3 linked regions of the Cricetulus griseus genome follow. The protein of the gene in region 2 purifies or fractionates together with the protein of the main gene of each other region. This does not show direct contact. Links are inferred from orthologs where the notes say so. Each region holds a gene or a part of one and is shown on either strand. Other genes may lie near its edges.

Region 1 (4,201 bases), on a different chromosome or scaffold from region 2:
AGACAAAGCAAATATGCGTAAGTGTAATTAAAGTGCTTGTAACCTCAGGTAGTTAATTGACAAGCATTTAGAGTAGAGGAATAGAATAGTAAGGATATATAGGAGAGATTTCATTAGTTGGGTAGCTTGGATGTATTGACATTTTGGGATTTGTAAATTTTTCCTTAATTGATAGTGTTTTAAAAGCTAGTTCTTAAGTTCTAACATGGGAGTTTTCTTTTTCTTTTCACCAAAACATTTGTGATTCACAAGTTACTTTTAAATTGCTTGTTTTCTTTTACCAACAAACATTTTCAAACTTTTTTTTTCTCATTTCAGAACACAGATATGTAGAACTCTTCTTGAATTCTACAGCAGGAGCAAGCGGTGGTGCTTACGGTAGCCAAATGCTAGGAGGCATGGGTTTGTGTAAATATCACTTTAGTGTCTTTTTTTAAGCTAACCTTGTATGCCTTTTCTCTCATTTCAGAACACAGATATGTAGAACTCTTCTTGAATTCTACAGCAGGAGCAAGCGGTGGTGCTTATGGTAGCCAAATGATGGGAGGCATGGGCTTGTGTAAATATCGTTAGTTTTTTTAAAAACCAAAACATTTATATCTGTATAAGTAGTTAATAAGCTAAGTTAATATTATAATTAGCATAAGAGTTTGTTACCATAATAATTTTAAGCTACAATAAAAATATTAAGTTAGCAAACAAATTCAGGCAAAGTAAATTTTGTAATTACTATATTAAATTACTAAAATCTTGTAAATAACATAAACCTGCTTAGGATAGCTTACTTAAAGTAGATACAAGTACTTTTGTTTGGGGGAGGGGACTATTGATTGTGTTATAGTATCTGTCTATAAAGTGTAAGTTTAAAATACTTAACAAACATAAGGTTTAAAATTTTTATTTGGTAACATAATTACTTGGGCATAATTAACTAGGTGTTCATTGATACCTGTATAATATCTAAATATATATCAAGCTAAGGGGGAAACCCCACTAAAGTTTCATAAGATGATCAAAAAATGCCTCTACTTAGTGAATCATGTGTACTTAGTCCTCAACCCTTTGGTTTATAAACACTGAGCTAGCTAAAATGATGAATATAAAGGTTAATATGGTCATAGACAGTCTTGTCATAGACAGTAGGCAGGAGACAGTAATTTAAGATCAAGACTGGAAAATCGTAGACATAGAATTACAAGCCCGGTACCACCAGGTACCACATTGGATAAGGAGCAAAGCTCTAATGTTCTCTTAACTTAACAGCAAACCAGTCCAGTTACGGTGGCCCAGCCAGCCAGCAACTGAGTGGTGGTTATGGAGGTGGCTACGGTGGCCAGAGCAGCATGAGTGGATATGGTAAGTTTTTTTTTATATACCTAGAGTAAGTTTTAGGTTGGTTTGTCTAGTTGGGCTCCTTTTGAAAAGAGGAGGGGTATTAATATGGTTTTTATTACAATTCTTATTAGTATAATTTACAGAAAGTCATTGGGAGGAGGGGGATGTATCCTAGTAATTGCAATTTTGGAATATTGTCAAGGCAGAAAACATCTCTGTTCGTTTATTAAAATAATTAGCTTGCTTTTCTGTTGTAGCATTAAATTTTTTGGAGGGTAATTTTTAAATATTAGGCTGGTGGTTGGGTTCAGGACAGTATTTTACTAGTCGGTTAACCTAGGGATGGTTTTATTTATTTTTTTTTCAATTGGTCTAAAGAATGGTGATTTTGGTATTATAGTCTTACCCTACAAAATCCTTTTGCAGACCAAGTTTTACAGGAAAACTCCAGTGATTTTCAATCAAACATTGCATAGGTAAATATTTTCTCAAAAAATAATTTAAATTCCCAATAGCAAAGACTGATAATGTTGTGATAACACTTTTCTATAGCAGTCAGTGACTCTGACTTAACTCCCTGGAGGCTGCCATTTTGGGCACAGTGAGTTGCCTTTAGTCCAACTTTTGTCCTCTCACTTCTTGCCCACCATGAATAGGCAAAGCAAAAGACTTCCCCTGTGTTCCCTATTCATACACATCATTCGATGAACACATAGTACATGTTTATGGTAAATTTTTAAATGCTTTGTTTAGCTTTAAAAACTTGGAAGTAATTTTGCAATTTTTGAAAAACACTAGTTTTCCTTTAAACTTAAAATTTCCACGTTGATCCTGAAGAATCCACTTAAAATGGTAGCACAAGAGTCTGGCAAGTTGGTACTGCAGAGAAAAGGGTTTAATTGAAATTTGTTTGGAGTCGGGATTCCCTTTTCCCAACATGCTTCTCGCCAATTGGACAGCAGCCATTTGCACTCGTATACCTTTTAAACTTTTTCTTGGAATGTTATTTTATTTGATTGGTTATTTGACACTATTCCTAACTTGTCAAACTGATCTCTTTGCAGGTAGCCAAGGAGCAGTGAACAGCAGCTACTACAATAGCGGAAGCCGTGCATCTATGGGCGTGAATGGAATGGGAGGGATGTCTAGCATGTCCAGTATGAGTGGTGGATGGGGAATGTAATTGATTTTGATTGATCACTGACTCTTGGTCATTTTTTTTTTTAATGGAAAAAAAAAAACCTTCAGTTTAACAGTTTTGCAATCCAGCCTTGTGATTTATGTCTACTCTCTTAAGTGAACATTGGCATCACTCAAAGGACTAAGGTTCAATGTTGAATATAGTCACCTAGGATGATGATACAGTGAACTATAACTGTTAAACAATTCCCAGCTTTTCTCTAGTTACTGTAGGATGTGTGTAAGCAGTAAGCGTATTTAGGTTAAAGCAGTTGAATTATGTTAAATGTTGCTCTTATACATACATTACATTGAACACTGTTGATGCATGTTGAAAAGACATGCTTTTTTGTAAAACTCTATAGGAGCTGCGTCTACAATTAAAAGTGAAACATTTGGCATGTTTGTTCTAATTTCATTTGATAAACCTGTAAGGCACGTGAGTTTAAAGCTTTTCTCTTTTTTTTTAAGTTGATGGAGAAATTTTGAGACGCAATACCATTACTTTAGGATTTTTGGTCTTGGTGTTTGTATGAAATTCTGAGGCCTTGATTTAAGTCTTTCATTGTATTGTGATTTCCTTTTAGGTGTATTGCGCTAAGTGAACCTTGTCAAATAAATCTTCCTTTTAAAAGCTACACCTTGTCGTATCTGTGCTTCAGTGTCATGTGATCTTTCTTTGGTGCTTTATTCCTACCTGGGGTCATATTCCATGTCTCTGACTATGATAGAAAGGCTGGGCTACATAGAGAAACTGTGTGTGTTTTGAGACAGGGTCTCTAACTGCCCTGGTTGTCCTGGAACTCCATAGACCAGGCTGGCCTCAACTCAGATCCTCCTGCTCTGCCTCCCTGGTGCTGGGATTAAAGGTGTATATCAACACCACCCTGGGAGAAAAACCTCGAAAAATAAAAACAGAACCAAACAGAAAACCCAATAACTTGGAGACAAGGTCTTACTGTGTAGCCTTGGCTGGTAGAAGTAAAAATTCCTACAAGTAGCCTCTGAACTTCATTTGTAAGATGGTATATCCATATAGACAACAAAAATGAACCTTAAAAAAGTTTAATGCTGGACATGGTGGCACATGCCTTTAATCCAAGCACTAGGAAGGCAGAGCACTAGGTAGGAAAGAGATCCTCTGACCTCCAAAGTAATGCTGTGGCTTTACTGACTAGTCTGCCACGCTCTGGCTCTGCACATTATATGCTTAAATGTTCCTCTGTTCAGGCTGGAATTTGGTGTCAAAACTTGATGATAGCAGCTAAGTATTGGAGGTTTAGGACCTGAATCCATGAATAGTCCAAGTATTATGTTGCTTGGTGGGTAGAGTTGAAGTTGGGAGAACAAAGGAGAAAACCCTGAATACTTGTGTAGGCCAGATGGTGGGTCTTGATGTGTGCTTTTTATTGAGCAGCAGCATGAAAATGGAGGTGTTACCCTGCTTCCTCTTGTGTGCAAGTGAAAGGTGTGACACTCGGAAGTTAAGTGACTTGACTAATGGGCTCGGAGCCCAAGTTGGGTACACTGAAAAAGGGACAGAGTTAACTAGAACAGTTTGGTATGTGAACTTAGTGGGAAAATTGGATCCTGTTTGAGGTTAGTAAAGGGCTCAGGCAGAGAAGGAGCAGGCTTCTTTGGCCCTTTTCACTGTGCCTGCCATTTAGAACATGGCTTTGGAGCTGCT
Region 2 (4,999 bases):
CCCTGTAACAGAGCGTTGGAGAAATGGAGACAGGAGGATCCCTAATTGCCTAATCAATGAACTCCAAGTTCAGTGAGAGATGTTGTCTCAACATTTAAGATGGAGAGCAATCAAGACCTGAGGTGATTTAAATAAGTTGTTCCCCTTAGGATCACATATTTGAATGCTTAGTCACTAAGAAGGGGAACTCTGATAGGATTAGAAAGGTTAGGAGGTGTGGCCTTGTTGATGGAGGTGTGTCACTAGGGGTGGGCTTTGAGGTTTCAAAAGCTGGTGCCAGGCCCAGTATACCTTTCTGCTTGCAGATCAGAAGGCCGCTCTCAACTGCTTCTCCAGCACCGTGCTTTTTATGCCTGTTGCCCTGCTTCCTGCCATGACGGTAAGGGACTGAACCTCTGAAACTGTAAGCAAATTAAATGCTTTCTTTTGTAAGAGTTGCCTTGGCCATGGTGTCTCTTCACAGCAATAGAATGGTGACTAAGAGAGACACCCTATTGTGACCTCTGGCCACCCTTGGGTTATTGTATTGCTATATACAGTTCTCCCCATTGCATATTATAAAATATGCATAATCAATTCATAGAGTTGTAGTTAGTTGTGATGGCCACATTTACCAATTTATATCTGAAATTAAATAATTGTGTTTCTTTTCATATTGACGATATTTTAAATGCTAGGTAAACACGTGGTTACCATAGTGACAGCACAGATCAAGAGCTTTTATTTCTGCCATTGAAGAAGAGTCCCTGGGCAGTGCTGACTTGGAGTCTGTTAGATTTGAAGAAATAACAACGGAACAGAACACACATGAACTGGTCATACTCCGTACTATGTAAAGACTATGTAAAGAAAAAAGAATAACATAATATGAATCAATTTTATCTGCATAAAAAAGATGTTTAGCCGGGCGTTGGTGGTGCACGCCTTTAATCCCAGCACTCGGGAGGCAGAGGCATGCGGATCTTTGTGAGTTCGAGGTCAGCCTGGTCTCCAGAGCGAGTGCCAGGATAGGCTACAAAGCTACAGAGAAACAAAACAAACAAAAAAAGATGTTTAATGCCTTATGGCAACATACTATTTAAGGGAGATGAAGATGCTGGTGTTCCAAACAATGTCATAAGGAATCCCAGCTTTCCTGATAACCATGCCTTCAAGTAGTTTGTTGCTAGAGTTTAAGTCATGCTGGGGAGGGTGGCAGTAAAAGCTGTCTGTACAGCTGGGTCATTCAAATCCATGCATCCATCCAAACATACATACACACATGTACACTCTACCTGCAGCTAGCTGCTGACTTTTGTCTCCGAGGCAACAGGGAAATAACCAGATTGGAGACATTGCCCATTGAAAGATGGAGATTTGGTCAATTTCTGCTGCCCAACTGTTACTGAACTCGGGGGTCACAATCTGAGCCCCAAGTCAGGTTCAGGTATCCATCCTCAATAAGCCATTAAAAACAGCCAAACTAATCGTGGGAAGAAGAAAATGGAGAGTTATCCAACGTAGTCACATTACTTACTTGGGGCACAGGTTGTGACTTCCAAGTTCAATAACACAAACCCAGAATGTTTCTGGGGAGCACGTTGACTTCAAAAGCGATCAGTATGCCAAGCTGACAAGTCTCCAGGCTGCTGAGTTATTTTACTCATTATTGGATGCTGTGGTCCTGGTGCAGCCTGAAATCTGGAACAGCCTGCGATGGGGTGGAGTGAAAAGTGATGGAGCAGCAGCGGCTCTGACCGTGTCGACGTCTGGGCTTTCTAAGCTTTCGGGTGGACTCTGGTCATTTAATAGTGCGATGGGGAAGGCACAGTGCCCAGTCCGCCGCCATAAGGCTCTAAACCAGAGATGTCAGAATGAGCTCGGGAGCCTGTGGTCCCGGCACGATGCAGGTGGGCGTGTCGTCCGGCACCGCTGCCCCTGCGCCGCCCCGCCCCCTCGGTGGCTGCTCCGCGCCGATTGGCCCCTCTGCAGCTTGTGGGCCGTCACGTGCCGGAGTGTCCCCGGTCGCCTAGCTGTGGGCGGCGGGGCATGGACCCTCAGGAGGCCACCGGTCAGGGGTCCGGCGAGCCAAGTGCGCGGCAGGTCCCCAACGCGGAGGTAAGCGCCACGGGGTGGGGAGCGCGGGCCCATGCGATCCCCCGGGCTGGAAGCCGCGGGGCTCGCGCGCTTCGGGAAGGCCGCTCACTCGGGAAACGCCGCCCCCCCCCGCGAGCACGCGCAGAGCCGGGCCGTAACGGCGGGAGCGCGCGGGGACCTGGGGTTGTAGCAGGCACTGGAAGGAGAAAGAGGGAAACTGGGGCTGCTCGGGAGCCTCTGTGGCAGGAATGGAGGGAAGGTGGAGCTGGGGGCCGGGTCAGATGGGAGCGACGAGGAAACGGACTTTTTTTTTTTTTTCCGAGACAGGGTTTCACTGTAGCTTTGGAGTCTATCCTGGCACTCGCTCTGGAGACCAGGCTGGCCTCGAACTCACAAAGATCCGCCTGCCTCTGCCTCCCGAGTGCAGGGATTAGAGGCGTGTGCCACCAACGCCCGGCTAGGACTTTTTTTTTTTTTTTTTTTAACCTTGAGGACCTCCGGCCGTTGGTGGGGATGTGCAGCTGACCTTGGACGTTAGATGTCACCGGTTCTTTTTCCCATTTGATGAAACGGAAAGGCCCCTGGTGACACGGGGTTTCCAGAAACTTCTTTTTCAAGTGGGTGCAATACAGCGGTTTCCTATGACCTGCCCTTAAGCAGCGACCATCTCCATCTACAACAAGCTTGACTGTAAATAGGCGTCCTGTTTACCAGAAGACACACCATGTGCCTGACACAATGTGTATGCTAATTGGGTGCATGAATGGAATGCTTGCTTGAGCATCCAAGATGGTACTTGCAGCAACGGTAGCAATAGATTCGCAAAGAATATTAGTTTTACAGAAGAGGAGGGCACTAATTTTGTTAGAGAAGGCAGAGCCCCACCAAAGGCCTGGAGGTCAGAAATAGAGTAATGTTGCCTCTCACGTTCACCGACTTGCTTGAACATAGACCTCTTCCGGTAAAAGGCCTGCTCTAGGGCCCAAGCTCTGGGGTCATAGGAAAAGGCTGTATTGCACCCATTTGCTCCAACACCTTGGGGGACAGCAGTGAGTTGTGGCTACGGGTTATCACTGACCACAGGAGGTGGAATTGAATCATTAAAAATCCAGTCATGACTGGATAATGAATGTTAACTAAGGTGTGTGCTAAGTACAGGTATATGATGAAAAGTTTGTGTAAGATTGGAGAGCTAGTATGGTGATGGTGTCACAGAGTTTGGTTTGGTTCCCAGCAACCACCATAGGTGGCTCAGAGCCACCTGCAATTCCCTCTCCAAGGGATCCAACACCTCCTCCTCTTCGTACATTCACACACAAGCAAATAGATGTAAATATATAAATACATAAAAACTTTAAAAAATAAAATGAATTTAAGTCAGAGAAACATTACTTCTGCAGTCTAACAGGTGGTTTTGTTATTGTTTTTAATCATTTTTTGTTTGAATTAGAAACAAGATTGATTTACATGACAATCCCAGTTCCCTTCTCCCTCCCTCCCTTCCCTACCACCGCCCCCAACTAAAACCCTACCTATCACATACCCTTTCTTCTTGACCTGATTCAACCTTTCTGCTCCCTCATGACCTCTGCATCCTTCCTCTTCTTCCCTTCTCATTCTCATAGCCCCCTCCCCGTTTTTTTTTTTTTTTAATTTTTTTGGTTTTTCAAGACAGGATTTCTCTGTGTAGCTTTGGAACCCATCCTGGCACTCGCTTTGGAGACCAGGCTGGCCTTGAACTCACAGAGATCCGCCTGTCTCTGCCTCTTGAGTGCTGGGATTAAAAGGCGTGCGCCACCAGCGCCCAGCGGTTTTGTTATTGTTGTTGCCTTTAATTGTAGTTTTGGAGACAGGGTCTCTTGTAGCCCAGGAGCTCACTCTGTGACCAAGGACCTTGAACTTCTGATCCTCCTGCCCCCACTTCCCAAATGCAGAGATTACGAGTATGTGACATCATGCTTGCTCTTATGTAGTGCTGGAAAATCAGCCTGGGACACTGAGCATACTAAGCAAACACTACCAACTGAGCTACATCTCCAGCCTGTATTAGGTGTTTTCATAATTGTTCTGTCAACATAGGACCTCTGCAAGGTCAGAACAACCACCTCCAGTTTCCAGGGGTCACACCCTGAGCGCATGACAGGGCTCGTTGAAATCTGGCCTAATGACTCAAGCTGTAGACATTAACTGGTTCCATTGGAGAGAGATATTGAGGACAATAAAGTCTGGGGGACTTTTGAAGTAATGGGGCATAAAATTACTTGGTTGGCAGTGGGGATATAAGTGTTCCTTTCACTGTTTAGGAACTAAAACTCTGGTTCCCCACGTACCACTTGGGAGACACTGTTAAAAAGGAATTGTTAGGGGCTGGAGAGATGGATCAGTGGTTGGGAGTGCTGGCTGCTCTTCCCAGCACCCACCTGGTAGCTCACAGCTGTCTTTTTGACTCCAGTTCCAGAGGATCCAGCATCCTCACACAGACATACATGCAGGCAAACACCAGTGAACATAAAATGTAAAAAAGGAGCTGTTAGATATGAGGCCAAGTAACTGAAAAGGGGAAGGTGTGCAGAGAAGTGGCAGGTGCAGGAAACAGCTACCAATCCTGGCCAAGAAAAAGGAATGGTTAGAGCTGTTAAAATGATAGAGGAAAGGGTTTATAGACAGACCTGGAATTACAAACCCTGAGACCCAGGAGCTGTCCAGATTGGCTCTAGGGTCTCTGATCATGGAGAGGCCCTGGTACCCAGACTTCTGAAGAGGGCCCTAGATGAGATCAAAACCTGCAGCTGTCAGTTGGCCACTGCAAGAAGGCATTCTCAGTGGTCTGGGTGGAGAAGTGTTGTTGGGGTGATGCCTACGACCCCGCTATCTCTAGCCAGCAGGTGCAAGCCCCGAAGTGTGAAGGGCACTGTGGGATGGT
Region 3 (3,995 bases), on a different chromosome or scaffold from region 2:
ACCTGTGGCAAGCATTAGTCAATGTGAACTACTTTTTATCAATACAGACCTAAAAGGAAACTTAAATCTTAGGTTCTCTAAAGAGTAGCAAGTGGTCTCATCTACCCCACTCTTCATTTTTAAACAATGAAAAGTAGTAACAATTCTTCAAAAACTTGTTTCTCTTCTTTGGTCTCATTTTAGACCTTCTAACATAGTTTTTTTAAGCCTTTTTTCTTTAAGTTTTTTTCCCCCCCTCTATCAGCCTTAAGCCTAAGAAACAGGCCATGCAAATGCACTATCTGCCCTTCGTGCCTAAGTGACCACAAAACACAAGCTTTATCTCTGAGCAGCAGAGTGATTCCACCAACGCTTATTCTTTCAAGCCCTGGCTGACCATGCATGCAAATTCAAATGTTTTACTCACAGGTAATAACAAGAGCCTCATGACTAGCAAATATAGAATTCAGGAGGCCCACTTACCTACTTTCTCCTAAACTAAAGTTGAAACACTCCAAAGTATATCTATCACCAGTCACTCTCAGCTCCAATATAATCAGTTATTTATCATGAACTCTAAATGGAGTGGCTAGACCACCAACACCAAGTATAAATAAATGTTTAAGTTCTCCCTTAACTAACTACTTCAGGAATGGTAAAATACAGACAGCGGCAGTAAAATTGACAACATCCTGGTGACTCACCTAAGTAAAGCAGACAAAAAGTAACAACAGCTTTGGTGGGGGAAAAGGCCATGACCCAAGTCTTTAATTCACATTTCAGTATTTCAGAATTTCCCTAATGATGGATCTTAAATCTTAATAGTTCACAAATACAGCACTCAGACTTCATATCTCCAGAGGAAGGTGCCCAGAGGCAATCAGGTCTCAGGGTATCTTTAGGTGGGAAAAATGACAAAGATTTCTCTGTAAGAAACCCTGTCAGTTTTCTGACTTCACTGAAACCCCTTTAAATGTTCAATCATCCCTAAAACTTTCTATGAAATCTAGGACAGGAAAACACTCATCTCTCTCATACAACACAGAGGAGGGCAAAGGGTGAGCAAGAACTACATTGCAACAGCCAAATTTATTCACCAAGAAAATGGATCTGAAAATTCAGTTTAACATGGATTTGTACAAAACTGTGGTATTTCTGTGTCTTCTCAAGGTATACTGTGCTGGACTTTTATGGACTGAAGTATTCCCCATAATGAATTAAACTCTATATAAAAATAAGTTACCCCATCTCTGAGTGGTGGAACCACTCCCACAAATCTAGGGATACTCACATTCCATATCCCAGACAACATATCCAATTCTTGGACTTGGGAAGCATAAAACTGTTCTCACTTTGTGGGAAATAAAGAGCAGTGCTTTGGGAAAGCTGAAGAATAATTTTCCCCACCCCAAACTACTTAATACACTCACACACATGTGCTCTCTCGAACACATATACCCATTTATATAAAGGAAGTTTTCCCTCCTAGACACTATGGGCTGCAGCCTCCCTCAGGCTGAGAGTCTGCCTGTTTATTGCACGGGACTAGGGAGTAACATGCTCTACAAGGCTCCTTCCTGTGCTCTCACAATACGGAGGCAGAGGCAAGCAGATTCTTGCAGGTGGAGGGCTATTTTTTTTTTTTTTTTCTGAAATCCATTCTACTCTGAGGCATTCTCAGGTCCAGGGGCTGGGAGAGGCTCAATGGGCACAACATGGTGGATGACTTGATGGTCCCAGCCAACTGTGGTAAGGAGGGAGTGGTTAAGTGGAGACCACGTAGCATCTCTCACGAAGTCTCTGTGGGCTCGACTTCTAAACCTGGAACAAAAGTGGGTGTGTGGTAAGAGATAACACAAAAACCGAGGTGGGAAGAAGACAGAAAGAAAACCTAACATAATCAGGACACATTGTTTTTAAACATTTCACCATTTGTACAGCTTATCACCAGGACAGTGGATGTTCAATCCAATCCAGTCTACTTTCCTAGGGGAAGAAATAGTATGCAGAGCAAAGAAGTAGTATATCTACAACCAAGCAGGAAGTCATAGCAGAGAGAGATGTACACCGGGGTCTTCCTTCCCATGCCTTTCTCTCTATAGCAGGTTTCACTTCACAGCAGGGGTTCCCTCCGTGAAGCTGGGATGCTAGCTAGACTTAGCCTACAATCAGACTGCTTCCAGTGTTCAGTCTCTGCAGACACACAGACACAAATGGAGAGAACCTCTACAGACAAAGATGGAGAATTTTCTTCTATTTATTTCTAATAATGTGTAAGTGGGTATGTGCACCCAAGTGCAGAGGCCCACAGAAGCAGAGGCATCACATGCCTTCGATCTGGAGTGACAGACAGCTGGGAGCAGACGGATGTGGAAGCTGGGAACAAAAGGAAGTATTCTTAACTACTGAGCTTTTCTCCAGTCCCAACAAAGGAAGAATTCTACATGCAAGTTCCTGAAGACAAAACAGACCTGCTTGCCCATTGGTCTTGATGCCTGATTCCTAACCACAGGGTTCTACTTCAAACTTACACCTCAGAAAGGCTTGAATCCAGCACAGCAATTGAGCAGTCTTCACTGAGAGAGGCCAGAAAGGGAGCACTAGGAGAGGGAACAAAGGGGAGAGAAGATAAAGCCTAGATTCCATAACCAAAATCTGACTGCACCAGCCCCAAACTCACCATAAACTGAGCCAGGGGAAAAGGCAGCCTGATACCCACCTTTGGGTTAAGGTCTTCCTGCCATTATAATTCCAATAAAAATGGAACAGAGACAGTACTCATAGAAACCACCCTGGTAACCAACTACCCAATGGGTCCCTCTCTACATTAGCAATTACCCAGAATCAGGCTCCTTAAGCACATGGTGCCAGAAGCCTAACATCAATCAAGCTGTGTTGAACAGGTATGAGATCACATTTCAGCTGTTTTTAGACTATGCAACCCTAATAAGAACTGTACTGACTAGCTTAGGAAGACCAAGCTCGAGTACTTACATTGTTCCATCTAAGGAACAATGTAACCAGCTAATGCTGTGCCAATAGATACATTCCTTATCACTCCATTCCTACCCCTCACCACTGGCCCAACCCATCCCTTCCAAACCCCTGATGACAAACAGTACCTGTGTGGAGAGAATACCAGCCTAGTGACACACTGGGAGTGCACAGCTGAGCTGAGGGTACTGCTTGCATTCTTGGTGTCCACAAGAGAGACAGATCCATTCTCATCACCTGTTGAAGAAACAGCATGTTACCATGGTTAAGAACATACACTTCAGGCTGTCCACAGTCAAGCACGCCTTTAATACTAGCATGCAGGAGGCAGAGGCAGGAGGATCTATCTGAGTTCAAGGCCAGCCTGATTTAAATAATAAGCTCTAGAACAGCCAGAGCTACATAGAAAGACCCTGTCTTAGGAGAGAAAAGAACAACAAAAACCTTAGGCTTTGATATGCCAGTCCTGGATTTGCATGAATCTTAGTTCCTCGAGATATGGACAAGTTCACCACCCAGAGCACCAGTTTCCTTTTGTAAGGTAGGATAAGCAAGTTACTGTGTGCTGTGACAATTACTGGATACTTATTACTTTAACTACAAGCTGTTACCATATGCAGTCATACCCACATAATTCCCTAAACAGCAAAGCTGCTTGCTAAGTGGCCCAATGATTTCTAATCATGCCGAGAATAAGGGAGCTGGATCCATGAGGAATCCAATCTACTAGGAAAAAATTATGTCCCCCAAAGCTAAACAAAACTGCTCTAATTCATGTAGTGCTGAAGTGTGTTGACAAGAGTGTGTACACCTCGAAGGTAGCGCTTTCCCATCCTCCCGTTCTCAGAGTCCATATGTCATGCTGCCTTACCAAAGACAAAGACATCACTCTGCTGAGGATGCCAAGCCAGGGAGGTAGGAAGGTAGCCAGAAGCATTGCAGCCTGGAAAGGACAAAAGGGAGGTTTGGAACAAAAGCAGCCACAACCTACAAGAAGCAGTTCTTCAAGAGAAGTCACAAAG

Evidence for each region.
Region 1: the proteins of Coprs (region 2) and Hnrnph1 purify together in Homo sapiens (co-immunoprecipitation; 3 studies listed by BioGRID and IntAct, with this or other methods). This does not show direct contact. The link is inferred for Cricetulus griseus from reciprocal best matches to the Homo sapiens genes COPRS and HNRNPH1.
Region 3: the proteins of Coprs (region 2) and Wdr77 purify together in Homo sapiens (affinity purification with mass spectrometry; 3 studies listed by BioGRID and IntAct, with this or other methods). This does not show direct contact. The link is inferred for Cricetulus griseus from reciprocal best matches to the Homo sapiens genes COPRS and WDR77.

Annotation. Positions count from the first base shown.
Region 1 is NC_048600.1:64,840,908-64,845,108, forward strand, and holds the end of Hnrnph1 (heterogeneous nuclear ribonucleoprotein H), read left to right. Parts: coding exon 1-17; intron 18-318; coding exon 319-378; coding exon of another isoform or gene 379-408; intron 409-469; coding exon 470-559; intron 560-1,263; coding exon 1,264-1,356; intron 1,357-1,761; coding exon of another isoform or gene 1,762-1,811; intron 1,812-2,399; coding exon 2,400-2,518; 3' UTR 2,519-3,152; downstream 3,153-4,201. UniProt on the Homo sapiens protein: This protein is a component of the heterogeneous nuclear ribonucleoprotein (hnRNP) complexes which provide the substrate for the processing events that pre-mRNAs undergo before becoming functional, translatable mRNAs in the cytoplasm.
Region 2 is NW_023276807.1:66,984,949-66,989,947, forward strand, and holds the start of Coprs (coordinator of PRMT5 and differentiation stimulator), read left to right. Parts: upstream 1-1,945; 5' UTR 1,946-2,028; coding exon 2,029-2,097; intron 2,098-4,999. UniProt on the Homo sapiens protein: Histone-binding protein required for histone H4 methyltransferase activity of PRMT5.
Region 3 is NW_023276806.1:51,041,794-51,045,788, forward strand, and holds the end of Wdr77 (methylosome protein 50), read right to left. Parts: intron 3,917-3,995; coding exon 3,845-3,916; intron 3,211-3,844; coding exon 3,102-3,210; intron 2,580-3,101; coding exon 2,511-2,579; exon of another isoform or gene 2,451-2,510; intron 2,356-2,450; exon of another isoform or gene 2,219-2,355; intron 1,801-2,218; coding exon 1,641-1,800; 3' UTR 1,050-1,640; downstream 1-1,049. UniProt on the Homo sapiens protein: Non-catalytic component of the methylosome complex, composed of PRMT5, WDR77 and CLNS1A, which modifies specific arginines to dimethylarginines in several spliceosomal Sm proteins and histones.